Linked DNA regions of Oryzias latipes. The protein of the gene in region 3 interacts with the protein of the main gene of each other region in a pairwise test. Links are inferred from orthologs where the notes say so. Each region holds a gene or a part of one and is shown on either strand. Other genes may lie near its edges.

What was found.
Region 1: the proteins of ndufaf3 (region 3) and ndufaf4 interact in binary tests that used the Homo sapiens proteins (3 or more experiments, as listed by UniProt). The two-hybrid records come from large-scale screens. The link is inferred for Oryzias latipes from reciprocal best matches to the Homo sapiens genes NDUFAF3 and NDUFAF4.
Region 2: the proteins of ndufaf3 (region 3) and snrpa interact in binary tests that used the Homo sapiens proteins (3 or more experiments, as listed by UniProt). The two-hybrid records come from large-scale screens. The link is inferred for Oryzias latipes from reciprocal best matches to the Homo sapiens genes NDUFAF3 and SNRPA.

The regions. Positions count from the first base shown.
Region 1 is NC_019882.2:21,366,787-21,376,754, reverse strand, and holds ndufaf4 (NADH dehydrogenase [ubiquinone] 1 alpha subcomplex assembly factor 4), read left to right. Parts: upstream 1-3,819; 5' UTR 3,820-3,863; coding exon 3,864-3,996; intron 3,997-4,097; coding exon 4,098-4,189; intron 4,190-5,618; coding exon 5,619-5,915; 3' UTR 5,916-6,833; downstream 6,834-9,968. UniProt on the Homo sapiens protein: Involved in the assembly of mitochondrial NADH:ubiquinone oxidoreductase complex (complex I). May be involved in cell proliferation and survival of hormone-dependent tumor cells. May be a regulator of breast tumor cell invasion.
Region 2 is NC_019871.2:13,955,521-13,965,653, reverse strand, and holds snrpa (U1 small nuclear ribonucleoprotein A), read right to left. Parts: upstream 5,922-10,133; 5' UTR 5,840-5,921; intron 5,593-5,839; 5' UTR 5,585-5,592; coding exon 5,512-5,584; intron 5,397-5,511; coding exon 5,224-5,396; intron 4,878-5,223; coding exon 4,713-4,877; intron 4,468-4,712; coding exon 4,309-4,467; intron 4,212-4,308; coding exon 4,123-4,211; intron 4,033-4,122; coding exon 3,873-4,032; 3' UTR 3,862-3,872; intron 3,777-3,861; 3' UTR 3,627-3,776; downstream 1-3,626. Other genes in the region: c13h19orf54 (UPF0692 protein C19orf54 homolog), read left to right, coding at 7,046-7,227, 7,335-7,403, 7,535-7,659, 8,021-8,150, 8,232-8,302, 8,993-9,333. UniProt on the Homo sapiens protein: Component of the spliceosomal U1 snRNP, which is essential for recognition of the pre-mRNA 5' splice-site and the subsequent assembly of the spliceosome. U1 snRNP is the first snRNP to interact with pre-mRNA.
Region 3 is NC_019863.2:1,712,561-1,722,363, reverse strand, and holds ndufaf3 (NADH dehydrogenase [ubiquinone] 1 alpha subcomplex assembly factor 3), read left to right. Parts: upstream 1-3,152; 5' UTR 3,153-3,255; intron 3,256-4,406; 5' UTR 4,407-4,447; coding exon 4,448-4,573; intron 4,574-4,647; coding exon 4,648-4,714; intron 4,715-5,137; coding exon 5,138-5,238; intron 5,239-5,317; coding exon 5,318-5,425; 3' UTR 5,426-5,670; downstream 5,671-9,803. Other genes in the region: nckipsd (NCK-interacting protein with SH3 domain), read right to left, coding at 369-582, 657-769, 2,281-2,451; rab GDP dissociation inhibitor beta, read right to left, coding at 6,390-6,533, 6,617-6,671, 6,745-6,889, 6,992-7,163, 7,247-7,346. UniProt on the Homo sapiens protein: Essential factor for the assembly of mitochondrial NADH:ubiquinone oxidoreductase complex (complex I).

The DNA.
Region 1 (9,968 bases), on a different chromosome or scaffold from region 3:
ACATTTGACAAATATTGGCTCCAACATGGATTTGTCCATATTGGGAAAAACGGTGCCTGGATTGACTTGATTGGGTTGGAGTTGGGGGGTAAGGTATTTACTGGTTTAGTTCTCTGAGACAGTCGATGTTCAGACATGATGTGGATCTGAAAGAATTGAATGAAACCTCAGCACCAATGAGACCAGCTGTCATGCTTTGAGTTGATGTCTGCTTCTTGTATTGGGAATTCTATTTATCTATCTATATACCCAGGCTGTGTCCAAACAAAGTGGGTTAGCCTAGACAGGGCACACATTCTTACCTCCCTCCTTCTCTTCCCCAAACCCTCCTCCTTCAGTGTGTGCGTGTGTGGGTGTGAGACTGGTCTAAGGCCTGGTCTAAGCCACACCACACTGCACCAGGGTCAGCTGCACAGCCCAGTGTGGGCACCTCCACAGCAGGGCCTCAGCCGAGGCTGGCTTCCCCTTGCCGCTTCATCCCAAGACCAGACCTCTACCACACCCATCCATTCATTCATACACAAACTCTCTCCACCCATCCCTGTCCTGAGCAGCCGCTCTCCCCTCCACCACAGTCATCCCTCTTGCATTCAACGCTCTTTTTACACCCCCTGTCCATCCCATTCGCGGTCTTCCTCTCATTCTCACTCCACTCACATCAGATGATACCTTTTTCACCAATCGCTCCCTTTCCATTCTTTCAACATGTCCAAACCATCCCAATGCCTTTTGCTCTGCTCTATCAGCCAACTCTCGCATCACACCAGTTGTCTCTCGGATAACTTCATTTCTCACACGATCCATACGCGTCACACCACACATACTCCTCAAACATCTCATCTCAACTACATTCAGCTTCCTCTTTTCCGCCACTTTCAGACTCCATGTTTCAGCCCCATATAACGCTGCAGGCACCACCACACCCCATACAATCTCCTTTTCGCATCCTTTCCCAGTGACCTACATTCAATTTGGGAATTACATTTGGGAATTACATTTTAAAAATACAAATTTCATCTTTACTTTCAAGGCTGAATTTTGAACTTCATGTTTTTAATTCAGATTAAATAAAATAAAAATGTTTTTAAAAGGAAGTTTGAAATACTTAATCCCACAAATTCTAACAAAGTATTTTGTTTTTTCACCCAGTTTGGGGTCTTTTCATGCAGAAGGCAAACACCAATATTGTTTGTCTTAGCAGTCTGAGGGAGACAAAGTGTGAAAGAAGAGGCATACGCCATTTAAATCTCAACTTGTCCTTGGAAGAGTGGCCTTTTTTTGCTCAAATCCTCAAATTTAGTGCTTGTCCAGGATAACACAAATGATCCTTGGCAGTGAGTTGAGGTAAAGCCAGATCATGGTTTACATTAAAACTTTCTGGAGAATAGTTTACAGGGACCTCAGTGTCTAAAGTTCAGCCACTGAAACCCCATCACCTCATCTGATGGTGTCTGTTCTGTAGATCACGGAGACAATCACAAATGTTAATATGTTAAAGCAAGATGAATATGTATATATTTTTTGTCTCTTTTTATATTGTCCATGAATAAAATGACTATACATAGGTGTGCATTCATAATTTTCATCACATGAAAAGGTCTCTGAGACTGGTTCTGGACACTGATACTTTACATCACTGAAGACACAACAGTTGAGTCTTAAATTCATGGTTAATGTTGATGATCAGCCCGTCTTAGAGCTTTTCTTTAAAGGCTAACTTGTTGCTTATTCTAAACATTACTGTAAAAACCCACTCAGATGAAAATTGTGTTCTTGGTGTTTTAATGTGTTCTTGTGGCATTTCTCTGATGAAGAAACCTCTTAGGACGTGGCATCAGCGTGGACATCACATTTTAGGTTATACTACCACAGTAGTTAATTCTGCTTAACTAGACTCCTGTGACTACATGTTTAGAGGGTCGGCTTAAATATTTGCTTGGGTCTTAAGAGGAGAAAGAAAATTAGGTGAAAAATTGTGTTTCTGGGTATGTTCTTATTCAAATCATTGTGAATCTGGAGCAGTTGAAAAATAATTATTTTGTTCTGTAAAAACTACGCTGGGTGGGCCTCAAGTTTTTATTGAGATTGCGCCAAAGCTTCATGAAGCATCAGGCACCACTGTTGCACTTTTCATTGTTGGAATAAAAACTCTGCTTTGGGAGACAGCTATGTTTTTTTTTGTTTTTGTTATTCCAATGCACACCAACTGATGCAGAGCTCAGAAGTTACTCGGAATCATCTGATATTGATCTTTTATTGACATCCATCATTCTTTGCAGAAAGCCCTTCCTCTTACAGAGGCCAGCTTTTCTTGTTGTTTTGTTCTCTGACCTTCATCCAATAAATGAAACCTTCCAGTGCTGCTGGCTTTATGTTGGTTTAAGTCTTATCCCTTCCTTTTAAACACACACGCATAGATGATTAGCTGTTGTTCTCAAGCATTTTGTATTAAATACAGATATTTTTTTAGACTAAAACAGTAACAAGTCAAGTCAAATCTATAGTCCGATGACTACAGATTTGACAACCCATTATTATAAGCCTCCAAAAAGATGAGGACAACAAAAAAGGATATTTCGAAATAACTTAGCTGTTAAGACTGTTGCATTCAAGCACATGCTTAAAAAGGTTATAGATAGGGGGAAAAAATGTGGTTAAAATGATTCCCGAGCAACTGAAATAACCACAGTCTTCATAGGTTTGTAAAGCACAGCCAACACCTGTAAGGACTGCTGCAGGAGTCGGACTTTCAAGAAACATTGGCTGTTCCACAACATGAACTTCATCTGATGCATTCATGGTGTCAAGCCAACCTAAACCCCCTTTTATGTCATATGTTGATCATTTGCAACATACCGTTTTAACATTTAACATCATCTTGAACAGAAAAAACACTGACGAAAAAGTTTTCATGTAATTGGAAATAATCCAGGTTTGAAGGGGTCAAACCTGACCCTATTTCACAGGTGTCTTATCTGAGGAAATCAAGACCTGTGCATCGCTGTGACCTTGTTCACAGTGATCCTTAGTTCATTTTCTAGCTACTTTAAGCACCGGCTCTTGATTGAAGGTTGTTGTATCCCTGAAACTGGTTGACTGGGGGGATACCAGACACTGGAGTTAAAAATGCAAAAACACTGAAGAAGGCCAAAGCTGTTATCTCTGCTTGGCCACAGACTGATTTTCTCCATGCTTTAATAAACGATTGCCATTATTCCAGGGGTCTATTTATATACTTTATTTATTCCTTCTTCCATTCAATTAATTAATCAAACTATGTGTCAGCCATTATAATTAATGGATTTAATGTGCATTGTGTGTTTGTACTATTAGAAAAAATTATAAAGTCAAGAAGATGGCATCATTTATTATTCTTTTCTTAGAAGATAATAAATCATTTCAACCTTAAAAATATTAGATGTATTTCCTTTTTTGTTTTGTTCTCTTTTTTATTTTCTTTTATTGCTGAAATAGCCTCAAATAAACCAAATCAATCAGGGTCTTCTTATGTGAGGAGTGCCTTTATTTTAGGGGGCCAACATTTCTGTTAAAATCTCTTTTTGTTAACTCGATAGAATATTTTATTCCATGCTGAGTTGGAGGATTATTTCTGTCAACATATGAATTCAAAACACATAAAATATAATAAAAAAAACATAAAACATAAAATATAACATGCTGTGCGTAATGAATCTATAATACATGACTTGTCTTTAAAACTTATTCCTGATTCTTGTTGGGGTGAGAATTGAAAACAAAGTCACCCAACCGGAAGGTGGCGCTGTCGTTTTCCCTCCAACTCTAAGTAGAACTTCCAGTTTGAATAAACTTTATTGACAATTGTCAGGGAGAAGTTATCCAACATGGGAGGTCGGATCGCCCGGTTGTTCCGAAACTTTAACCTGGAAAACCGAGTCTTTAGAGAACTTTCTAAGGAGAAGCCCACGGCGGCGCCCCGACACGCGGTTCCAGAGCCGCCTCTTCCCGGTTCGGACGGTGAGTGGGCCCAGCTTTCTCTGCCGCATGTCATGTGTGTCTCTTTTCCCTTCGGGGTCATGATGATGGAGGAGCCGTTCACCTCTCTGCTCTCCTTCCAGTCTCTGAGTCGGTTCGACAGAAGAACGAGCCGCTCCACGAACTCCTCCGGTCCGTGTACGTGGAGTCCACAGACCCGGCTGCCACAGCAGAGGTCAGAGCGTCCGGTTCTGTTGGTTCTGAACGGTTTAGGATGGTTTAGATGAGTCAGTTTAGTGTTTTCCGTATGAAATATTTTTTAAACCTTTAAAGCTCACAAATTTACGTGGATACTTGGGCAGACCTGCGACTACTCCGTATCGCGAGATTCCACCTGAGACGGTTGAATTCCAGCGGTACACCTCGAGGAGGCCCACAACAGAACCAGAACCCCGAAGACATTTCTGCTCCCAGCTGACCTGGAAATGTCTCAGGAGGTCTGAGCTTCCTCTCTGAGTCTGCTGCACCCAAATCCCAAAGCCAGGAGAAGAGGAAGACAATGGATGGACCATCGCTTCAATTGAACCCAACACTCACACTCAAATGTCAAGTTAACAGAGCAAAAGGCTGCTGATAAAAATGTTCACCAGTGTTGGCAGGAAGAGAGAATGAAGAAACAGAAATCCTCCAGAAACACAAAGGGGTTTGATGAACTGTAACACTTCATCTCAGTGAAAGTTATGCATATTTTAGATGGGAACTGTAGTAAAGAAGGTGTTTAGAGTCCCACTCCGTCAGTGTTCCCGGTGGTCCTTTAATCCTGATTATGCTTTTTTTAAAGCCAAAATGTCATTTTCAAGAACAAAGTTCATCAGAAACTGACTAATAAGTTGTAGGCGGGATTGTCTGTGCGGAAGTAAGCCTCTGCCGATATCCCATGTTTACACTTTTTCCCACTAGCTTACAGCCCCTCACAACCCCAACCTAACATTAGTGGTACAACAAAAATGGTGAGCAATATCAGAGCTATCCAGCTGTACAGTTTAGATGCCAGCTCAGAGAAGGAAAACAGAGACGTACATGGATCGATTTGTCTGACAGATCAGAATGGAGCAGAGACTGGAGACTTTGCCCCCGCCCCTTTCAGTTGCTTTGTCATAACTGACAGCCTTTTCAAATGGTGTTTTTTTTTTTGTTCCGGATCAGCAACGATTTGATACTAAGAAACATACTTTTGATCTGAATATTTTTTATATATGTCTTCCACCAAGAGAGAAATGCTGCAAGAATATGGTTTAAAAAACACAATTTTCATTGGATTTGGGCTTTGTGGATTCTGCTGGCAGCATTTAGTCCTCATCACCCACAGCCTCCACCAGGGGGCAGTCTGCCAGTGTGAAAGAAGGAGAGCATGCGCCATCAGATGTGAAGGATGTTTAGATTCCTGCACAGACCTGTGGAAATTATGACCAAGCAGCATCTTTACATATCCAGGTTCCATCCTGCTGTGACGTGAGGGGGAGAAAAGATCAATGACAATAATCACAGAAAAAGTTTTTTACCTTATTTGCTGTCCTACCAGGAGTGTTTGGGTCTGTGTCCCGAGGCTATGGGGGACTGCAGATGCCCTGCGAAATTCAGCCAGCCTTGTTTTTCCCCCGCAGGCGTTGAAGGAAGCTCCTGAGGCTCTGCAATCCGAGAGGAGGCCCACGCGAGTCCACATCCCAGGATACGCGTACGGCCTCACCAACGTCCCCAAAGGCAAGCTGACCATCGCAGAAGCCGTCAAGGCCCTCGGCAGTCACCAGCACCAGCCTCAGACGTGGACGCCTGAAAAGATAGCGCAGGAGTATTTTCTGGACTTTAAGGACACTAAAGCTGCTCTGGAGTTTTTTGTCCCCTTCAAGGTCGAGATCATACCGCCCAAAACCCGAACTGCCAATCAGATCAAGGCGTCTTAGGAGGCAGTGGAGGAGGAACTTTGACCTCATTTATTTATGTCACTCAGTGTTTGGTGTAAAAAGTGATTTTCTGGAATACTTGAACGATGTCTAGAGAGTTCAGCCATTAAGCTCAGATCTCTGCTCTTCCTCTGTAATTCTACTGGTTCCTCATATTCAGAAATAAACCAGTTTAAACTCAGATCGGCATGAAAAAAGCCTTCAGATACATCCAGATTAGGCCTCATTGATGCAGCTCCACGGGAATTTTCTGCTGTTTTATTTTTCTTCTTCAGGCCTTTTCATGTCATCGTGTCTTGTCCGTTGATGAGTATTTCCGTCCACCTGACTGTTCAGAGAAACTTCTGCTCCTGTCCGGTCTCCACTGAGTCCGGTTTCAGGCTGGACGGGTCATTTTGGACCCAGTCTCAGTGTGAAAGTGAGCGGACGACTCTGTATGTGTAGCTTTGGAGTGTAACTTCAGGACTCTTTTCTGCAGCAGTTGATCTTTCTCAAACCGCTGCTGCTGCTTTAGTTGTATTATGTCGAAAGAACGTTGTTGAAGCAATTCCACTCTTGTCCTGAAGGTGAGATCTGTAGTCCCACAGAGGTGATTGACTTTCAAATGAACCATTGCCCATCTTCTACAAGCTCGCTGGAGCAGAGGTTCTGCTGAAAAACAGCTGCAGAAACTCCATAAACTTCACGCTGGTACATTTTTCCTGAAGTGGCTGATAAATTTGCTCGACAAAAATCGGGGATCCTGGGTCTCATCCATGTGCAGCTTTGGTGCATCAGGATGTTCACGCAGCAGGAAGATATGTTCAGACGTGAAGGAGAAGGCAACTACAAATTGAAACACTGGGAGTGAATTTACAGATGTGGAGGTGTCCATCGCATTCATGCAATTTTTCAAAATAAAAGAAGTATCCATGTGGGGCTTTTTTGCTGTTTGAGTCATTTGCTGAGATGAACTTATAACCAGGGTTCAACAGATTCTGGAGGGAGCACTCAACAAAAGCACGTGTGTTCCTGAGTTACAGTTTTCCCTAAAAAAAATCCCAAATTCGAGAGCAAAACTGGAAACAGAGACCTGCTGGTAAACAAGAAACAAATGGAAAGAATGGCAACTCATGTAAGGCACAAATATGGCAGAGGGTGTTGGTTTTTCCTGGGAATCAAATTCCCAGACTTGGAAAATGTCTACAGTCAATTAAATACAGAAGTAGAGAATGGAGTTTGTCAGTAAATATACACCAATAATACAGTTAATTTGTCTTTCGTATTAACTTTTGATGATTTAGTATCGGCTGATACATAGAAAAGGTGCTTCTTTAGTCTCCACATTTCCATTTTTCATCTTCTGCAAACATCCTCGTTTGCCCAAAAGGAGCCCTTCCTCCCGCCAGATGAGCCCTTCCTGTGCACTGGAGCATGCGCAGACACGCATGTTCCCGAAAGACTCCACTGCTGCCAGAGCCACTGGCTTCTGTGGGTGTCAGTTCTCACGAGAGCAAAGGAGAGTGAAGTTAGTGTGGAAGTGGGCACGTGTGAGCGGAAGCTTTGGGACGTTGCTTTCACAGTAAAACATTTAAAAGAAGGGGACAGTAGTTTGACAGTAATGTCAATTGTTTTTATATGTTTTCGGAATTCTCTTGATATATGCATTTATTATGATTACAGTAAAAAAACAGTGATTTAGAAGACAAGACTGTTACCCTCATTTAGCCATTAGAGACTTCCTCACATTTAGTTGTTCTTTTTTTCTATAGAGCATTTACTTTGGCAGCTGAATTGTTAACTGCAGGTTTATTTTTAAAAAAAAAAGTTTTTTTTTTTTTTTTATTAAAGCAGGCACTGGACATCAGGTTACACGGAGAAAGTATAGCAAGTGCTTATTAAACAAGAGGCTTTTGCAATGAATTAAACCAACTGGACAGAAGGGGTGAAGAGAACGGATTGAAGTAGTTGTTTTATTTATTATTTATTGCATTGATTGAGAAACTGTTTTGTTTCTGAAGTATGATTACTAAAATTTGATTTAACATTTATTTAATTTTTTGGTCATAAACATTCCTGTTTTTCAAGTGTACCTGGATTAGACACAAAACAGGCTGCAACAAAAAGCTCCAGGGGGCTTCTTAAAGCCTAGAAATACTGGGATTAATAAAGGATATAAGCGGAAAAAGGACACCACAAGAAAGGTGGCGAGGACAAACCCAACGCCAGTCTGGACAATGCATTCTCACAAATTGGTCACAAATACATTAATTATGGTCTGAACAATCGAAGTGTTGCACTCTTCAGTTTATTTCAGGCATCATAGCAAAAGCTTTATCCTATAAATTTCTCTTATTTCTCTATAAATTTCTCTTCATTTTTGTACTGTTTTAATATAGGCTATCAAAGTGTTTCATTATGTAACTAAACTGATAGAAAATGTGAGATGGATTTGTTTTAGGCCAAAGTATTTTACTTTTGTGGGCAATGTTTACGGGATTTTTTTTTCACCTTTAATTTATATTAAGCCTAAGAGTGACCACAGCAGAAATACTTTCACTTTTGTACAGTTTTTAAGTCGTTAAAAACGCTTTCCTAATGAAATTCTTGTTGTGGGTCTTTTATTTCGAAAGTCCAGTCAGGAAGTGAAAGTCGGTGTTTCGCGCCGGCGTCACAAACACCGACACTAGTTTTCAACAATGTATCAGACAGTCGGAACATGAAAGGCTTTTGCTGCATTTGATGTTGGAAGTCGGCTCGCGCGTCTCACGTGGATAAAAGAAAACAGCGGAACTTGTTGCCGTTTACTCTTTGATGAACAGGCGGATGAATCTGCGCCGCAGGAAGAAGCAAAGCCTCAAAATGCGAGCGCGGATTTCACATCGCCGTTTGTGTAGGTGGAGACACCCGCGGACGCCGCTCCGTGCCTAAAAAACCCCACCAAAAGGCCCGGATCTGGGATCAAAAGTGGGGTTACTTCGAAGAACGCCTGGTTTTTCTCTGCAGGCGGAGGAGGAGGCAGCTGCTGGTGCGACATGGGGGAGTTCATCACTTCCAGCAGGGGAGACACATGCAGGTATCACCGGGAACACGCTGCACCGAATCCGACTCACCTGCTGTGACAAGAAAACATCTGTCACGGCCAGATGATAATCTGATCACCATTTAACCATAATCTGAGTCTCAGCCTTTTTTGTCCGGTCGGAACAGAACGCCTGATACTAATTTACTGGTGGAATGTTATTTTTTTCTAGATCAGAGCCCTTATTGGTCTATTTGAACAGATATGCACTAGTTTTAATCATTCTTTCTTCTATTTTACATTCCATATTTCTTAAAAGTTCAGTTTTTCTGGGTTTTCTCCAAACGTAAATGAAAACCCAGAGCAAGAATGTAAGTGAATCCGGAGGACCCAGCTCATTTTTCCAGGGTGGTGGTTTTGTGGAGGCTTTGAAACGGTCTCTGTCATGGCTGATGGACATGTTTGCTGGTATCTCACCATGGCTGCTCTGTGCAGCCTGGCTCATCCATGATCAAGAGCCTCTGATTGGCCTGTAAAAAATCAGGAATCCACCTCATGGCATCACTAAAACCTGCTTTTGCCTTTTGTGGAGTCCACTCATGAGACTCCTGAGGTTTCTGTCATATAAAAGCATACGTAGTAATAATATTATTAACCCATTTAGCCATGCCCCCTCCCCATGGTGTTGGGGCGGGGTATAGGGGAACAGCCATGCCCCCGCCCATGGTGCTGGGGCGGGGTATAGGGGAACAGCCATGCCCCCGCCCATGGTGCTGGGGCGGGGTAGGGGAACAGCCATGCCCCCGCCCATGGTGCTGGGGCGGGGTAGGGGAACAGCCATGCCCCCCTCCCTATGGTGCTGGAGCGGGGTATAGGGAAACAGCCATGCCCCCGCCCATGGTGCTGGGGCGGGGTAGGGGAACAGCCATGCCCCCCTCCCTATGGTGCTCTAAAACACGTGTGTTTATGAACATTTTTTTTTTAATTTGTTAGTGAAATTCAGTTAGCAAACATTGCCAACGATGACTATTCTTTTAAGCAGTTAAATTATT
Region 2 (10,133 bases), on a different chromosome or scaffold from region 3:
CGCGTCACAGATCTTCAGTCGGGGTTTTGGGTTTCCTCTCTACCTTTTGTAACACCTCACTGGTTTCACTCCTCCTGTTTCACTTCAAAGCGCCGCAGCGCAAATTGACTGTTTTCATATTTCTGGTTCCTGCATGGGAACGTTTCATAAACCTTTAATGATGAAGCAATTAGATGACAGCGTGGAAGCTGATCATGAAGCCCTGCATGTCTGCAAACACGGAATTAACAGCCCTGTGAAGTGTTTTCTGGTAAAGTTGTGCGCTTGGCGAGGACGGGCGCGCGCGTTCTCACACAGCATGTTCTCCTGTTTGGACTCTCAGTTCATATGATGCAAAAACATGAGAAGGCTTCGGAGACTCATTTGAATATCGGCCAACGTGACATGGAATATTTTCCACAGCTGACCTCAAGCGTCTTTGTTAGAGTCCAGCCTTCCACGCATGAAGTGCCTTCTTTATCAGAGGGCACCTAATGAGATTCTGCCTCCTCCTCCTCCTCCTTAAAGTCCATCTCGGGCTTGTTCTCAAGAGCTTCCCTGACAACCGCTGGTGTTTCCGCGGCTTGGCGCTCAGCCGTGACCCCTGGAGCGGAACAGAGGGCTCTTGAGAAGCGCGGCGCTGATTAGCATAGAGGAGCAGTGACCTCCATCATCAGATGAATTCCGTCCAACCAGAACGGAAACACTCAGCCGCGAGCTGTAAGCGCCGCGTGAAGCGCACCTGATATTCACCTTTAAACTGTGCAACAGCTGGATTCAGAACCGAGCCTCTAAATGAACAGGTGTGCATTTGGCGCCATCTGGCGGCCAAATATTTTACGAGAAGGCTGATCCTTTGTTCCGAAGCCAAAGTCAAGAAATTCAATTTGTTAATCAAATAGAGAGCAGTGGTATAAGACGCAATTCAAAAGTAAATGTGAAGTAACTGCTGTCTAAATACATATCGGTTTAGCAAACTGAAAGTTTAGCTATTTAATTTAGAATGCAAGTTTTTAGGGGAAAAAACTAAGTTTTTACTTTACGTAACTTTAAAGACAAACTTTTTTGTATGCTATCAAACTGCCTGGTTAAACCTAAAGGTGTAAACGGGAATGCAAGTTTAAAAAAAATCTAAAGGAGAAGTAACAGGCATGACTTCTTGCATACCTTCTGTCAGGACCACAAATATTTGGACAGAGACACATTCTTTCTCATTTTGTTTCTATACATTACCACAGTGAATTTTAAATAAAACAACTCAGATGCCATTGAAGTGCAGACTTTCAGCTTTTATTCTATGGGTTGAACAAAAAGATTGCATAAAAATGTGAAAAACTAAAGCATTTTTAAACACAATCCCTTCATTTCATGGGCTTGTAAGTAATTGGACAATTGACTTCCATGCTATTGCATGGGCAGGTGTGGACAATTCCCTTGTTATGTCATTATGAGTGAAGCAGATAAAAGGCCTGGAATTGATTAGAGGACTCGTGCTTGCATTTAGAAGATTTTGCTGTGAACAGACAACATGCGGTCAAAGGAGCTCCCCATGCAGGTGAAAGGAGCCATCATTAAGCTAAGAAAACAGAAAAAAAACATGCAAGAAACTGCTACAGTATTAGGAGTGGCAAAATCAACAGTGTGGCACATCCTGAGAAAGAAAGAAAGCACTTTTGAACTCAGCAACGCAAAAAGACCTGGACGTCCACTGAAGACAACAGTGGTGGATGATCGTAGAATAATTTCCATGGTGAAGAGGAACCCGTTCACAACAGCCAACCAAGTGAACAACATTCACTAGGAGGTAGGCGTATCAATATCCAAGTCTACCATAAAAAGAGGATTGCATGAAAGTAGATACAGAGGGTACACTGCAAGATGCAAGCCGCTCATAAGCCTCAAGAATGGGACGGCTAGATTGGACTTTGCTAAAAAGCATCTAAAAAAAGCCAGCACAGTTCTTCATTGGACAGATGAAACCAAAATACGCCTCTACCAGAATGATGGCAAGAGAAAAGTATGGAGAAGGCGTGGAGAAGCTCCTGATCCAAAGCACACTACATCATCAGTAAAACACTGTGGAGGCAGTGTGATGGTCTGGGGGTGCATGGCTGCTAGTGGCACTTGGACACTAGTGTTTATTGATGATGTGACACAGGACAGAAGCAGCCCAATGAATATCTGAGGTGTTCAGAGACATACTGTCTGCACAGATCCAGGTGAATGCAGCCAAACTGATTGGGCGGCGTTTCATAATGCAGATGGGCAATGACCCAAAACATTCAGCCAAAGCAACTCAAGAGTTTATTAAAACAAAGAAGTGGAAAATTCTTGAATGGCCAAGTCAGTCACCTGATCTTAACCCCATTGAGCAGCATTTCACTTGTTAAAGACTAAACTTCAGACAGAAAGGCCAACAAACAAACAGCAACTGAAAGCCGCTGCAGTAAAGGCCTGGCAGAGCATTCAGGAGAAAACCCAGCATCTGGTGATGTCCAAGACTTCAGGCTGTCATTGCCGACAAAGGGTTTTCAACCAAATAGTAGTAATGACCATTTTGTTTTCAGTTTCATTTGTCCAATTACTTACAAGCCAATGAAATGAAGGGATTGTTTAAAAATGCTTTAGTTTTTCACATTTTTATGCAATCTTTATTTTCAACCCATAGAATTAAAAGCTGAAAGTCTGCACTTCAATGGCATCTGAGTTGTTTTACTTAAAATTCACTGTAGTAATGTACAGAAACTAAATTAGAAAGTCTGTCCAAATATTTATGGTCCTGACTGTAGTTTGAGGACAAATATTCAGGGCCTAGTTAAAGCCCACAGCAGGAACACTGTATGCATTGGAACAGTTGAGGTAAGTCCAAGTTAAGCTCTTTAAACCAAATTCATGGATTCCACCTACAGGTAGAATAGATTGTCCTCACTTATTTATAAAGATTATTCAAGGGCCAAGGTAAAATTTATCATATCCAATATTTTGGTTGAAGAATTTAAATTATTTTCTGTGAAATTGATGTTGCATTCCACAAATTAAAGGCTCTGGACTTCATGTTTGCAGGTAAGTGTGATAACCAGGTAACACCCCACTACAGTTTAAACGAATTGGCAGGAGGTAGAGGTGTACCAATGCATTTTAATAATTCGGCTCAGTTTGTGGTTGCCGACAAGATTCATAGTAGATATGTGTACTTTGAATGATCCTATGACCTAAAATCAATCCAGGACAACTCCATGCATCTCATAATAAATACCAGGGTGCTGTGCAGTGAAAGTGACGTTTACCAGATTACTTGGATTTCTTGCAAGATAATTTAGTGTAAATAAATGTGTACAAAACAAGTAAACAACAATTCATTACTAATAGTTATGGTAAAAAAAAACAAAAAAAAACACGATCATGTCTCAGTTCAACTAGTATTTTCCGAGATCGATTATCATTCATTCATATTATTTTGAAAGGATTTTATAATGCTATAGGTTAATTACGAACTTGCCTCAGATCCGGTTGGATAAATCGATACATTGATTAATTGTTACACCCCTTGCAGGAAGCTGTGTAGGTGCCAGTCTGAGAAGGATGGAGTAAATACAAGTTTTAGATGACCAAAAAAAAATCCATAAACAAGAAATAATGAAAATCAATCAAGTAATCTAATTACTTTAATACAAAACAACAAATACCAAGCTCCAGGTACAATGTCTGACAAGTCAGACACTGGGTGCAATGCTTTCAAACTTTTTAAAACTAAAGTCATGTCAAAGTGACTTAGAAAAAGCATACTTACATGTAATCTGGGAAAAAAACAAATATTTTATTAAAAAAACGCCTTTTACTTCCACCACTTAAAAAGGAAAAAAACAAATTACAAATTTCAACCTGTGTTGGCATTATTTCTTGGCAAATGAGATCTTCATTGCATGAGTCTGTGTGATTTTGAATCCCTGTAGTGAATCTCGTGCAGCTCCAGCCTGAACCTCATTATCAAACTCCACAAAGGCGATGTCATGGCGACCAGGGACCAGACGCACCTCTTTAAAGCCAGGGAACCTAAACGCAGAAAACGGTCACGGTCAGTCTTTGATATGTTGGGCAGAAAAGAAAGTCAAAGCATAAAACAATTATCAAGTCAATACTGACTGGTTAAAGAGCATGGAGAGCATCAGCTCGTTCGTCTCCTCTGGCAGGTTGGTGAGGAAGAGGATGTGATTCGGTGGATTTTCTGCAACCTGTAAGAGAAGGCAAATGTTTGACAAAAAAGAAACAAAACCTGGAATGTTCATCTTTGGTTAAACATGTAAAGAACAGGGGGACAAAAATCATTACCTGCTGAGGCATTTGGCCAGGCATCATCTGACCCATTGCACCTGGGGGGATCTGGCCAGGCGCCATTCCTGGGGGAGGCATCATGCCTGGAGGAGGCATGTAGGCCGGCTGGCCTGGAATATGCATCATACGGGGAGCTTGGCTCATAGGAGGCATTCCCTAGAGAATGACACATTGTAAACATGTTCATGGTCCTCTAAATGTTTGCTAGGTTGATATTATGTTCTGTGGGGTTTTTAAACCAAACTTTTTCTCCATCAATTGCTGTTATTTTAGCTTAAAATCTCCAAACAACCTATCGCTATGGTAAACTTAGCAAGTTTGCAGACAGTATTTTTCCACTTTTAACTTGTCCGAGTAAGAGCTGCCATGTCATTCTGGTCACAGTAAACGTTCCCACTTACAGGCATAGCAGTAGGCACACCAGCCATCATGGCTGCAGCAGCAGCTTTCTTAGCTCCTGTTCCTTCAGGCTTGGGCTTCCTCTTCTCCTTTTTGCGCTCACGTTCCACATAGGTTCCTTTCATTTTTGCTATGATGTCCGAGTCTGTTTTGGAATACTGAATGCGCTGCAGTAAGACACGTTTAAATATGTGGCATTACTATACCAAGTGTGCTTAAAAAAAAGAAAAAATCCATTATACCTACTAGTTATTTAAATGTATTTTTAATAACCATTAAAAAGTGTTCAGTGTTAAGTGTTCAGTGATCCTCTCACACTGAGCACTTCTAAGTTTACAAAGATCAATCCTTCATTTGATGCACACTGTGGAATTGAAACATTTCACAAACTATACAACACATGACAGCAGAGAGGAATATTGAAAACTAAGATTGATTTGAGTTTTAACATTTTACAGGACGATATTTGTAAATTTAAAACCATGGAGGAAATTAAAACAACGTTTAACTTACCATGGGTTTATCATAGAAAGGGAACCCCTGCATGGACCTCAGTGCATTTGAGGCGCTGTTGATCTCTTTGAAGATAACAAAGGCCTGACCCTTCATCTTCAGGGTTCGTGCGACGAGGATGTCCAAAATTTGACCGAATTGCGAGAAGATGGCGTACAGTGACTTCTTCAGTTCTAATAAAGACAGAGGAAAATAAAAAGCTGTGGTGGATCTGAATTAACATCATTTATCACCACATCGTTCTTTCGACCAAAAAAGCAAAGAAAGGCCAGAAGTTAAAAAACTTACCATCTTTCTTAATTTTTTCGTTCAAGTTGTTGATATATATGGTGTGATTGGGTCGTACTTCTGGAGTGGTCATCTTAAAATCTACGAAGAGTTGTTTGGAAAAGAACAAAGCATGTCACATAAAATGAATTGAATGCTATCAACTAGTTAGCAGGCTAACAGCTAGCGCTAGCAAACAACCCTGAATGCATGCAGGCATTACTAGCATAAAGCTTAAAACTCGGTATAAACTGAGACAAATCAGCAATAAATGATTAATTTAATCGAACTATCTGTAACCTTATGACATTTGGTTTTATAAAAGAGAAAAAACACCGGATAACCGCACCTGAGTATCAGTTTTAACAAAAAACCCACCACCGCTCGGCGCGAAAGGAACGCTCACTTCGATGGGTGAATGAAAAACCTGCCTTTACAATTTCCGTATCATCTGCTCGCGATAAATCCAACTTGCACGTGATTTCCGGTCCTTCTCTTTTTTATTGAACATTTGCAGAATATAATACAAAAATGCAACATTTATAACAGTAAAATATAAAGAATACAATTACGTTCTGAATAAATAAAAAAATCTTTTTAACCTTGTAAAAAACTTCTTCTTTCTCTTTCGGCTTTTCCCATCAGGGGTCGCCACAGCGAATCATCGTCCTCCACCTCACTCTAACCTTGTGAAAACTATTAAGAACAAAATTATAAGCAATATCGATTGTTAAAACGAATCTTGTTCAATAATATACAATTAAAGCAATCACAGAGGGAAAAACTAAGTAACAATACAGTAACAGTAAAAATAAATACATAAATAAAACAAGAATAAAAAATAGAAATAAAGCCAGTGTATTTGCGGTCCTTTTCAGTCAATGGTCAAAAACGAAATTTGTTTCAGTATTTGCGTTAGCAAGATATTTTAATCGTCCTATCAGTGTGGTATCGTATCTTGACAGGAAAGATTAAAAGAAAATGTCAAAAATCTGTAAAAGAAAAAGAAAAAAACCCAGAGACACAAGCGAAAAAAACTTCGCTTGTCCTGTTACACACTGACTGTGGATTGACTTGTCACTAACTTTGTGCCTTCAACTTTATTTCCAAATACATTGTACGGTATGTGTGTAAATGGTGTGTTAAACTGTAGATGACTAGTGATGGAATGATCATCATCACTCACTGGAGGGTGGTGTAACAGTTGAGTACAGAGCGATCGCACACACGAAGAAGAGCGAGTATGTCCAAATATGAGCACGGAGCTGCGTTAGCTACTAGCTTGTTAGCTAGTTAAATCGAAAAGTTTGTTTACCACGTGCAAGAATATGTCAAATCTTTTTCGTCCAAAGGTTGACATGTTTAGGTAAACATCGAGCTTTTTAGATTGTGTGCAAACGACTCGAAGTGAAAGGTAAGCAGTTATTGAGCCCCATGTTAGACTTTAATGGTACTTAACTTTCTCCCTGGTGGTTATTAAAGAAATCAATGGAGGTACATTTTTCCCCCCAACAGAGCTGGTTTTGATCAGACAGAGTAGAAAGATTTTGAGACTATGCCGGTGGACTGCAGCTTGTCATCACCTCCTCCACCTCCTCCACTGGCTGCTTGTCCGCCTCCTCCTCCACCAACTTCAGCACCACCGAAGAAACTGTACCAGATCATAGCAAATAACAGCAGCCCTGTAGAGGGGCAATACACCGAGGCGAGGTTACTGCTGAGGCAGAAGGAGAGCAGGTGAGGAGGTTCACTACCAATCCAAAGTATTTATTTGAGTCCTGGATTGTTATTGAAGCTCACATATCTCATTTTTTTTAAACTAATGTATTCCATTTTTCTTTTAGATTCAGGAAAGACCTGCAGTGGATGCTGATGAACACGTATGTGCCTTCCCTCATTCAGGATGGCCCTCAGTAAGTCAGTCAACTGTGCTGTCGGGAATAAATAGCACCAATTTTTAGACTCCAAAGGGGATATCATGTCAGAACGATCTTTGGATTCAAATATTTGGCCAATTGACCGAGTGAGAATGTGAATGTTTCAGGTGTGGGCTTGTGGCCTTGTGGATGGCCGCTCACCTCCAGCAGGACAAGCTGGATTTGGACATGAAGACTTTGGTTCAAACAGCAGTGAACAGTGGATACACTGCTCAGGGGGAAATGTTTTCAGGTAACACTGCACCTTGAAAGAGAAATGAAATTATAAGGTTTAAAAGTTAAAATTCTTTGAGTTAACTTGGATATGAGTGCAGTAATTCAGTTCATAGTGTCTGTAGTAGTTAACTGAATTCTTGCTTGTTTTGTTTTCAGACACAGGTTATGTATGTGTCAAACATAACCCGTGTCTAATAATAAAACAAGGTGTCAGTTAATACATTTAACTTAAACTTATATTGGTTAAATTGTTTCTTAAATATTTACAATTATTTTTTTCTCCACAAGAGCTTACAGTAAAATATTATTACAATGTTTATGTGTAAAGATGTTTTTTTTCTTTTATGTGTTTGGCTGAAGCTCCTTGTTTTCTTCAGCCCACAACATGACGCTGCTGGCAGAAGAGGCTTGTGGTTGTAAGGCTGAACTGCTCACTGGAGGCTTAGATGGGAATAACAGAGAAACCATCATCAGACACCTGTGGAAAGGACAGCCTGTTCTCATCCCGTATCCTGCACATCAGAAAAAGCCACAAGGAACGGTTCATTCTGATTGAGCAGAACATTTCTTGACAACATGCCCCACCAGCTATGATGAGGACTTCAACCATGAACCGTGTCAGCGAAGCGGTCACAGAGCACACTGGGCTGTCATTTCAGGTAAATTAGGTGGTTCGCTTTAGTTTAGTAAAGGAATTGTATAAAAGATCCTCTTAAAATGTTTGCTTTTGCAGGCCTAATGAATATAATTTAGGCGGTAAAAAGGTAAACAGTTAGTACTGTTTCCTTAACAAGCAAGACGTGACTTGCGTGTGTTGAGTCAATCAAAACCTGAAATCTCAAAAACCATGGTTGTCCATCCACCCAAAGATTGCAAGGAGAACTTCTAATTAATGTGGGTGTAATTTTTTTAAAACCCTATCAAGAATGTAGTTTTTGTGCATTTTCAGGATTAAAATAAAACTCTTGTTTTTGCCCCAAGGTAAAGCCACTGTTAGAAAGTACAACATTGCAGAATGATTAAAGATTTCTCCATAAATTTGACTTATACAAAGATAAATTTGTGAAATTCCTCTTTATCCATATGAGCATTTTTGAATAACTCAATAGAACGTCTCACTGATGAGGTGCTGACCAACAAACCTGATGCGTAATGGAAAGCAAGTGTCTTATAGCAGATAGATACGTTTAACAAACCCATTTGCTGCTTTGGTCCTTGTCTTTTTGATGACTGGATTAAACTTGTCTAATCATCATTTTAATCTGGATCCTCTATTGAATCCATTTCCATTCATTTTCTGAAAGCACTGTTAAAAAAATCACCTGTGATGGGAGTTGTTTTGATTTTAGGTGTTCTTGTTGGTTTGGAGCAAGCCAGTTTCAGTCAAGAGCACACTCACCCAGACCCAACGCTGCCGTGGCTCCACCTCGCCACCAGCAGCAGTTCTCCATGTCCTGCTGGCAACCCAGCTCTCAGAGAGGCCTACGTCTTCGCCAAGCAGGGGAAAAGCCTGCGCTACCAGCTGTGGAGCCTAGACTGTGTTATTAAGAGCAATGAGCAGCTAAAGACCATGGACCCTCAGAGGGTCAACGACGGGAGCCGGTATGTCGTTCCTGAAGGAGGGGTGGAAGCTGGTCTGGCTGGACAGGCCGTGTTGCTCCACACACACACTCAAGAGCAGCAAGGGTGATGCTGCAGGAAGATCAACCTCTTATCTTAGCCTGTTCTACTCAAAGGTTCATGTGCAACAGGTCATTTCAGAGGCCTTTTAACGGTGTTCCCCAAAGTGGAAACCTGTAGATTAAAGTATTTTGAAATACATCTTTTACATTTGTTTGGAAATATTTCAAAAAATCCTAGAATTAAAGAAAAACCAAAACCATTTACAGTAAGTTTATTGCAGTTTATGGCTGACAAAAAAAACAATTTCTGCCCAGTCCAAAGTTTTTTGCAAAAGGATAACACCCGACATTTTAAAAATACACAGTTGTTCACATCCACCTCAATCACTGACACCCTGTGTTCATTTTCAAAAAGGTTAACTGTATTGCAAATTAAATGTGTCACTTCAGGATTTTGGAGAATATTCTTTAAAAGAGGAAATATAAAATACTTGACATTTGAAATCAGTCTCTTGTAGGTTTGTGTGATACTGTTGGAAGATCCAGGAATTGCTACAGTTAACCTGCTGACAATACTGTCCAGTATGGGGAAAAAGAAGTCCAGTACCTGCTTTTCTTTGCCATGTGTTCTTTGACTTCAAATAAAACAAAACTGCAAGATCGCTTCTGAATTTTTATAAGACTTGTAAATAGAATTCCAGTTTCACGTGAACCGTCGCATTACTGTGGAACCAATGAGAACATCCGCAGAGAACCGAACGGCAAAGGAAATTCAAAAACTGTAACCACAGCACTTCACTGCTGCCTTCCGACAGAGGCACTGCGTGTTTGTTCGATGGCTTTGTGAAGATCTATAGTGCAATAAAGT
Region 3 (9,803 bases):
AATCGATCCAAAAGTACTTAATAAATCCAGAAAGGGAATAGAAACAATCTATGTGTGTTCTAGATAGCAGAACACACACAAATGGGACAATACGTCATGAAAAATCTGAACAAACCTTCACAAAGTTAAAAGGGTCAAATCTCTGCTAAAGATTTACATTTTTCTTAAAAGAAAAAGAACAAAACTTGAAAAAAAATTTTTAAAAATGTATCTTTTAATTTAAAATCTATTGTTCAGTATTTTGGGAACAGTTATCGTTTCTCCTGACTCAACTTCAGTGTTGGTTAAAGTAGGGTTTTCTTTCCATAACCCCCCCACAGGTGGGGCAGCAGAACTGCAGGTGGGTGGGGGCCGGACGAGGACGTTACCTGGTAGAAGCCCTGCTCTCCCTGCATGCTGTCCATGCTGCCCGAGAACGGCATGCTGCCCTGCCGCCCGTACTCCCGTTTCAGGCCGTTGGGAGGAGGAGGCGGGGTCTGGCTGAGCGAAATCTCGCTGTTGGACGACGGCAGACCCGGTTTGTGGCCCGCGGAGGAGGGGGTTCTGCGGGCCAGAGTCTCCTTCCTGTGATGGATCAACTTCCTGCGACACAGAGGAAAACCCAACGTTTGTGCGGAGGTCGACGGCCCCACGTGACGTCCGTGCCTTCAACTCACTGCAGAACGTCCCGCTGCTCCAGATTGTATTTGCCGCCGTTTTTCAAGGCCACGTTGTGGATTCCCTCAATGGCTCTGTCGATGGACAGCAGCACCTCATCCTGCTCGGGAGCCTGAGACGGAGAAGAAGAGGGAGCAGATGAAGGAGCTGAATTATCAGGACATCATTTAAGGGCTTGAACGCCTTCTGGCCAAAAGAAATGAGAACAGCATTGCAACCGTCATTCAAACCCTTGGGCTGTCCTGTGGGGTCCAGATGACCCCACTCTCAATGTTAACGTGGGGGGTTAAAGCTCTGTGATGGTGGCAGAGGAGAGCATTCCTCTTCTGCCAGTGTGAGCAGGCCCGTCTTCCACAAACGGGCTGGGACCGGTTCACCCAACGCCTGCATCCAGACACAGGAGGAGTGACTCAGAGGAGACAGACGGCTGATTCTGAAATGCTGTTGGCAAAGATCCCAGATCCATCGGTGAGCTGTTGTCTGGCCCCAAAACCTCTGGACGTTTCCTGACGTCGTTGATTATAATCAAGCAATCATAGGAAGATAAACAAAATACAAAGATAAAGAAAAAAAACTAACTCTGTTAAGACATTTAGGCGTAAATTTGAAGAAATATATTTTTGTTGCAGTAAAAACTGGATTTTAAATGCAACCTTTAATTAATATTTATAAATAGGAAAAATAAAACAATAAAAGAAGTTTCATTTAAGGTTTGACATCAGATTTATCTGAATATTTTTGATGTCATGTCCAGAAACGTCATTTTTACTATTTAACAGTTTTTTTTATTTTGCGGAAATTCTACATTTACTACAGTAAATGGTCCAATTCACAACCTTGTTTTACTTTATTCTATTTGGTCTTAAAATCATTTAACACGACATAGGAACATATGCAAAATATGACGGCTACAAGAAACTGTCATTCTATGTTTGTCTTTGCATTTTTAGTAAGACCATGAAAACCTCCAGACTGATGATTTTCTCTCTGGGTTCTCTCTTCTTGAGCTTTTTGCTTCTTCTTCTTCTTTTGGTTTTTGTAATTTCTCTTTTACTTGTGTTTGTGTGTGTGTGTGTGTGTGTGTGTGTGTGTGTGTGTGTGTGTGTGTGTGTGTGTGTGTGTGTGTGTGTGCGCGCGTGTGTGTGTGTGTGTGTGTGTGTGTGTGTGTGGGTGTGTGGGTGTTTCTGTACAGCACCATGAGCTGTTTTCTTTACATGAAAGGTGCTTTAGAAATAAAATTAGTTTGAATTGATTTGATTGCTGATGTGCTGCACAGCATTTGTAGGGCTTTCTTGACCGATTGTCAATAGCCGATTGTTAATAACGTTTTTGGGAGGAAACTGTAAATGGTGTTTATTTTTATTACTCAAAAATATGTATTTTTTGTTGCATTGTATTGTGTAGAATGAAGTACATAAGTGAATGGCAGCGTGTCACCTGCGCAGTGGCAAAAATAACCAAACTTCCCAGAATTCCTTGTTTTGCGGCGCGTTTTTTCCAGCCGGCTCGGACACGGCCTGCTGCATCTCCGGGTCCGCCTTCACCCCCCCCGTACTGGCGGTCAAACCCCACCGCCTCGTCGGTGTCCTCACCGGCACCGCGGGGTCTGTGGCGTACACGTACCTGTATTTTTTCGATGTACGAAGAGGGGATGTATCCGGTCTCCCCCGAGCTGCAGCGGGATCCCAGCCACCAGTGTTTGTTGCTCCTTTCCAGGATGAGAAAGCTCTCTCCGGCCGCGAAGTACAGCGAGTTGGGCTCCGTGGATCGGAAGGGATACAGAGAGCGGTACATGATTCCCTACAGCTCCGTCAACGAGCGGCAGAAAAGCTGTGCGGGAGAAAAACTGAGCCCTAGCGGAAACGTTTGCTGTGCTGTTGGCGGTTTAAAGGGACTAAAAAGGCATGTCTGCAGAGGCTCGCTGAAGTCTATTTACAACGGTGGGGTCACCTGACCGATTAATACCAATACACGCCACCAGAGGGCGCTGTGCTCGAAACGCCCACCAGGCACGCTAATCAAAATCAGAGCGACTCTCCAAAATATTCCAGATATACTTTTGCAAAAGAGTCTAATTTCTGGTATTAGGGGCGATTTAATTATCCATATTATCTTTGCACTTTCATTTTTTTCATTATCTACAGTTTAAAATGTTTATAATTAACCTCAAGATTGAAAATTGTCCAAAGATTGAGGACAACATTGAACACCCCTTTTCTCAGACTAATAACATTAATGGATTTTTGTGATTCACAAAATAACCTCAAATTGATTCCCCGTCAGACTGGTTAAAACTCGTCACATGAATTAATTTAACTGTTTTATTTTATGAATTTGTTTTTAGTGAAAAAGTGAGAAGAGTTTGATTGTGCGGTTCTCGACACCGACGCTGGTGTCACACTGAAATCCTTCCCCCGTGTGTGTCGCCGGTTACTCCATCAGACATGACACCGACGGTGGTGTCACACTGAAATCCTTCCCCCGTGTGTGTCGCCGGCTCCTCTCAGACATGGCCGCAGCAGTTTGCAGCAGGTTTCTGCTGCAGAAGTCTTCTCAGGGCCTCCTGTTGTCCTTCAGGGCAGCACCTGCTTTCTCCAGGTACTACGGGGGTTTCTGACTAATCTTAATAATATAAATATAAAGCTTTAGAGATAAATAACTCTGACTGTGAGATTCTGATCACGTGAGAACATTTGGCAATGACATTTAAACTTGTGTTGTGATGAAACAAGATGAAGGGTATGGATGGGATAGTGATTGCTTAATTTCGGCTTTTCTTTCAATTTGCTCATTTTTTTTAAATTAATTTAGTAAGCAGTCTCGTGAGCATTACAAATAAACAGAAAAGCTTCATAATCAACCTTTTTTTTTTAGTTATGAGAACTTAAGCGCCCATTATGCTGTTAAATTTGAGAATTGGTTTAGAATAAGTTGTCATTGTGACAATTTTAACATTTGTGAACCTTTTTCATATGTTCAGTCCATCTCAAACAGATTTTGCTGATTTATTTTAGTACTTTTCTTTCAAATTAATGTCTTGGTTCCCCTTGATGTTTTTTTTTTTTTTTTTTTAAAGAATATATAAAATCTAGTTGGTGTGTTTTCTTTTAAAGACCCACTTCGATAACAATTATGTTTTTCTTGTCTTTAACATGTTTTTGTGGTATAGGACATATTTTAAGAAATTAAAAAAGTATTTTACTGAGCGTTTCTTACTATAAATTGTTGTGAATCAGGAGCAAAAGAAAGTGTCGTTTCCCAAAGATCATATTTGTGGTCTAGATGCTGCGATTGGTTCGACACGAGCTTCCTGCTCTGCTCCATTCTGATGCAGACAAATAGATCCACGAACGTCTTTGTTTTCCTCATCTGAGTTGGATCCAAACTGAACGACTGGACAGCTCCGATGTTGGTGGTTATTTCTGTTGCATTAGTGATGTTAGGTTAGGGTTGTGCGGGGCTGTAAGCTAGTGGAAGGGTGGACACAGAGAGCTCTCAGCAAGAGGTAGAGGCTTAGGTAAAACTAGGAATTGCATTCTTTTGCTGCCTTCAAATTGTATTTGTTTTCATCTTCTTCAGCTTAGTTATCTTGAAACAAATCAAACGTTTTAGCAACTTTAGCGACAGTTTAATTCCTTTAAAACATCTGAAGTGCTTAATAAACCCCAAAGCATCTCCAGCCAATAGTTTTGTTTTTAATTCAGTCGTTTCTTGGTGCAGCCCATTGTTGTCTCGTGCGTATCGGTTAGAGCCTGGAGATGATGAGTTTTACCAGCGAACCACGGTGTCCATGATGAGGAAGGAAGCAGACAATGGGATCCTGATCCACAGCTACAGCCCAGCGGGCTTCAACGTGGATGGAAACCGCGTGTTCGGACCCTGCGCCCTCCTGCCTCCCGCTATCCTGCAGTGGAATGTCAGACCCAAACCCACAGCAAATCCAGACTCTGCATGTCGGCGAGAGATAATTGTTGGCTCTTCTTTCTGCAGGTTGGCAGTCACAAAGACATCACAGAAGACAGTATTTCCCTCTTCCACATGCTCGAGCCTCCAATAGGTACAAATGAAAAACGCTGGGATGAAATGGTGATGTGAAGGAGTTGTGCTGTTAGAAAAGCTTCAAACTAACCAGGGCTTCAACATCATTTCCTCCACACATGAACTGTTTGATGGTCAAATTATTCTTTAACCTAATTTCATTTTGACAAAGAAGGCTTTGTAGAATCCCAAAACGACCCAAAACAGCTTCGTATTAAGATGGAATGAAATGCATTAGGTTTACAGTAAGGAAAAGCAGAACTAAAGTTGCTGAAGTAGAGCATGATTACAATTCTGACGCCACAAAACCCATTTATTCACCCTCATTCTAAAATGCACTTTCAAAGTCCTCCACCCCAGCTGGAGGAGACGTGACCCTGCATGAGGACACACCCACTACCATGAAACTCAGATAAATGAGGCTCTTTTCCCGTTCATCCAGAGATCCTCGTGCTGGGGACGGGCTCCAAGCTCCAGAGAATCGACCCGTCTGTCCTGGCTCTTCTGAAGCGTAAAGGCATCGCGGTGGAGGTGCAGGACACGGTAACAAACACACGACGGAAAGATTTGACCCCAAACAAATGGAGCAAAGGAAACATCTTCAATTGGACTCTCTTTGCAGCCGAACGCTTGTGCGACCTTCAACTTCCTGACCAGTGAGAGGAGGCTGGTGGCCGCTGGTCTGATTCCTCCTTCTCCCAGCACGGCTCTGGAGGTCCCTCCATCCTGAGAGTGGGATGTTTTCAGCTGAGAGTCAGGGAAACGAAAACTTTCCTTTGACATATAAATAGCTCTTTGTGTGGCAAAAGCACCATATTTTCAGTAAATTCCTGTAGTGGCAATTTTCTTTCTTGTTTTGACTTGATCTAAGATGTTTGTATGGATGTCAAATGTGTAAATAGGGTCTATAGAGGATGTGTGCAGGTGAAGTGCTGGTGACTGTCCTGGATCTGAATAAATCCTCTTTACCCCGTGTGTTTGTCGGTTCCCATATGACATCGTTCAGAGGCTTTGTCCTTCTCACACATAAGCCTCGCAGAGAGGAGAATCCCCAAATCCTCTACACATCGCAGCCCTTCACCTCTAATCATCTTCCTCGTGTCCAGAGCCCGTTGGGATGTTGCATGAAAGTGCATGAAGCCCTCAGCTCACTTTCACCAGCAGATTCTGAAGAAAGCTTAAAGCAAAGAATGACCATGGCCTCCTTCAGGAGAATGTGCCAGAATATTGAAATAAATATTCTGCATTTTCCTAATTTCCATCCAAATCTAAAGGAAGGTCTAAGAAGAGACAGCAACACCTTTTATCTGATCGAAATCTTCACAAAAGTTTCATTCCAAAATTTGTTTTTTTTACAAAAAATAGATGAATGAAAACACATTTTTCTATTTGTGTCGGTTTCATCAAATGTTTTATTGCTCAGAGAAATGTGAGGAAAAAGCCCAGATATCTCAGTCTTTCACTAGAGAATGATCAACACAAAAACTACACAATAAAAGATTTGCTGACGTCCCATCAGGAGGTTTCACAACCGGACTTTACGGATTACATATATTCATTTTCTCCTGACAGTTGTCAACGTTGCCTTTAGAAGACTTTCAAAAAGATCAGGATTAAAATGAAACCTAATAAAAAGGATTTTTGAACAACACAAACAGCTTACTACATGCTTCATCTTCTGATTGACGTGTTCCTCAGTCGTCATCAGAGTTATGGGACTGATGTCGAGACTTCAGGAAGCAGAGCTGAGCCCCGGTGAGCCGATGATACAAGTCCTTGATGTCCTTGCACTCTGTCTCAAAATGGTTGGCTCCGTCGTATGAGCGGGAAACAAAAATCTGATGGAGAAAGTGAAGTCAAACACGACGACAGGCATGGAAGCTGCTGAATTTCTGTCACATTTTCTGTTCTGATGAAGTACCTGGCTCTTTCTGCCATCCTCGTTTGGAACCAGCAGGTTATTGACGGTTACAAATCTAGGATTCAAAGGGTTAAGGTGAGATTTTGTTGTGGAAATGACATAAAAGCAAAATAACAGATTTGACACACTTTTGCAGGATAGGCTCCAGCAGCTCCAGGCCCGGCTGCACCTCTTTCTCCGGGGTGATGGTCTCAGCAGTGGTGCTCACGGTGGCAATGTACAGTCCATCCGAGGCCACACTGTGGCTGTAGGACACTACTGATATGTAAATGTCTGCATGGACACAAAGAGGAGATCAGACTACCATGCAGACAGAAGGAGCGGCATCCGATTGTTGTCAGAAGAACCGCAGCTTGATGACTCTCATCCTCTGACCTGACTTCCTGTTGAACTGACTTTGAGGAAGGATGATTTGACAGGAGCTGGCATCATGGGTGTTTTTGACGGGATGGTTCAGCAAACATATGACTCTAATGACGCGTCCAATCTTCCTGACTCTGTTGGGGACATAGCTGGGATCACAGATGAGCTGTTTACAGTGGAACTCCTGATCAAGGAGGAGAAAGGACACAACTGGTGAGCACACAGAGACTAGAAAAACCAGAAGAAGAACCTCTTTTGAGACTTCACCTTCCCCTCTGACTTGACAGCTTTGACTTTGCCGTTCTCCATCACGATCTCATCTATGGTCCTGTTCATCAGGAAGGCTCCTCCATACTCTGCACTAAGCCTGAAACACAAAGAAGCAGGCGGCTTACAGAGGAGGCATCGTCTGAGCTACATCTAAAGCAGGGCTGGGCAATGCCGGTCCTTCCGGGTTTTTGGTGTTTCCTTGCTTCAACACAACCGTGACAAACATGACTGTGTCATCAGCAGACCTTGGTGATGTGGGGAGGATGATTGTTAATTAAAATCAGGTGCGCTGAAACAGGGAAATATCTTAAAGCTGCTGGACTTTGGCCCTTGGGGACCAGAATTGCTCACCTCTGATCTAAAGGGACATTAAAACCTTTAAGAAAACCTAAAACAAGGAACGGGATGAAAGGTTACCAAAACACGCGTTAAAAAGACAGAACAGGACAACCTTAGAAACAATAAAACAAGAGTAAAATCTTGACAGCATATGTGGTCAAAAGTTTGGATGTTTCTGTTTTTTTCATTTTTAAAATGTTTTGTTCATGTCAATTCTTTTGTTTTAATTACTGTAAACAGATTAAAAATGTTGGAGCCTTTATAACCAGTGGTATCATATTTGATCACACATTCCTAAGACCCCGATCTCATTAGAGGATCCAAACTTTCCTTTAAAAAAGCCTCGTATGTAACTTGTTCCATGTTTTCTGCCCTGCAGTTCATCATCATTCCACTAGGGGCAGTAGTAGGGCTTTGTGTCCTACTAACTTCAAAATGGCTACTGCCATTAAATCTCAAAATCACTTTTAAATAATAAAAAATTATGATGGATTAGATTTATCTGCACTTTCCCAGACGCTCTAAGCGCTTCATTCACTCCTCATGTATACTTGGTGACGGTAGAGGCGGCGATGCCAGTTCATGCCTATGGTTCCTCTGAGCATCGCCGGGGCATTCATACGCATTCACTTTTGGCGGGAAAAGTTTGGCTAACTGTCAGAACGTTATGGTTAGAATAACTCATCTATTGTTATTCTTTTTTTAATTACTGCTTTGAAAGAGCACAACATGTGTTGTTAATTATTAATTATCCAGTGACATCATGTTAGAAGTTCGTAGATCACATTTGAGACAGCCGGTAAAGAAGCTGCCTTTTTTCTGTAGTTTGAACTAACATAGTTGCAGTGGCGGAGCTAGAACATATTTAATGGAGGGGGGTTTTAGAACGGTGACACGAGAAACGCAGATTGGAAGGCCATTACAAGTCAAACGATAAAAAAAATTCATTCATTATAGGGGGGGGGGGGGGGGGGGGGGGCTCAAGATTCCATTTAAAAGTAGGGCTGAGTGCTGCAATGCTTAAAGAAGCTAGTTTCTATGATTTCTTAATCTTTGTCAATAATGATACTAGTATTGACACAAAAACTGGAGTCAGGTGGGGGTGCTAAGCGTTTTTTGGGGTATGGGGTGGGCAGCTGCCCCCTACCCTTCTCCCGTAGCTCTTCCCCCTGGAGTGTTGTGAATAAAAACTTACCAAATCACCCAACGGATCGAAATTAATGAGCTATATCGCGCACGGAAAAAAAAAATTGTTGGAAATTTCTTTGTGGATTTCTTCTACAGGTTTGAGAATCAACTTAATCAACCAAAAATGAGAATTTTCTGTCAATTATCTGAGGTAGTGGGGTTTAAAGAGTTCATTGTTTTTCCTTTTTGTGATTCAGCTTTATTTTTCAGGTCATATTTTTGTTGTGGTTTGGTTCCAGCTCATCAGAATGTGAATGTTGACATTTCTGCTGAAGCTACAACAGGAAAGCCTCTGCAGGTGCTGTTAGCGATGTTGTTACACTGAACAAGAAGTGAAAGTGAAATGATTCTCATAAATCACAAATGAGGAAATCTGTGTCTTCTGGTTGAATAACGTTATGTAACCCATACAAAGTTAGGCTGAAAACATTCCTCTTTGGACAGGCTTATTGCCAGACTAGCTAGAATTAGAGAATATTTAACTTACTGTTAACATGTTTAAATTAAATTTAACAATAACAATAAAGTTGTTAGTTGGCTGCTAGAAGTTTGAAGCTGGAGAACGTATGGTGCACTGGGGTTCCTTCTTCTAGTCTCGTCTACTTCTACTCTCGTTCTCTTCTCTATTCCTGATCATTCATTTATGTATCATTCAGTTCTCCATGCCTCTGTTTTATGCAGTGCGATTCCCTCTCCCCTCCGGGAGAGTGGGAGTGATTCCTGATTCCAGTTGACTCATCCGTGCTCCTGACCGTGTATATCGTCTCTGCTCCTAAATTTGGTTGTGGACCCTCCCTCTCGCTCGTCTCGCACCCCCAGCCGTCCCCCAACTCTATCTGGATGAAGCTCATCTGCTGGACTTTAAACATGTAGTTGTAGAGTAAGATAAGTTAATTATTCTCTAAGAGTTCTGGTTCATCGCCTGTCCATCCTGGGGGAGGATCCCTCCTTCATGTGGACACCCCTGAGGTTTCCGTCTTTTTTAGGAGTTTTTCATTACAGAGAAGGAGGATCTAAGGGCAGGGAT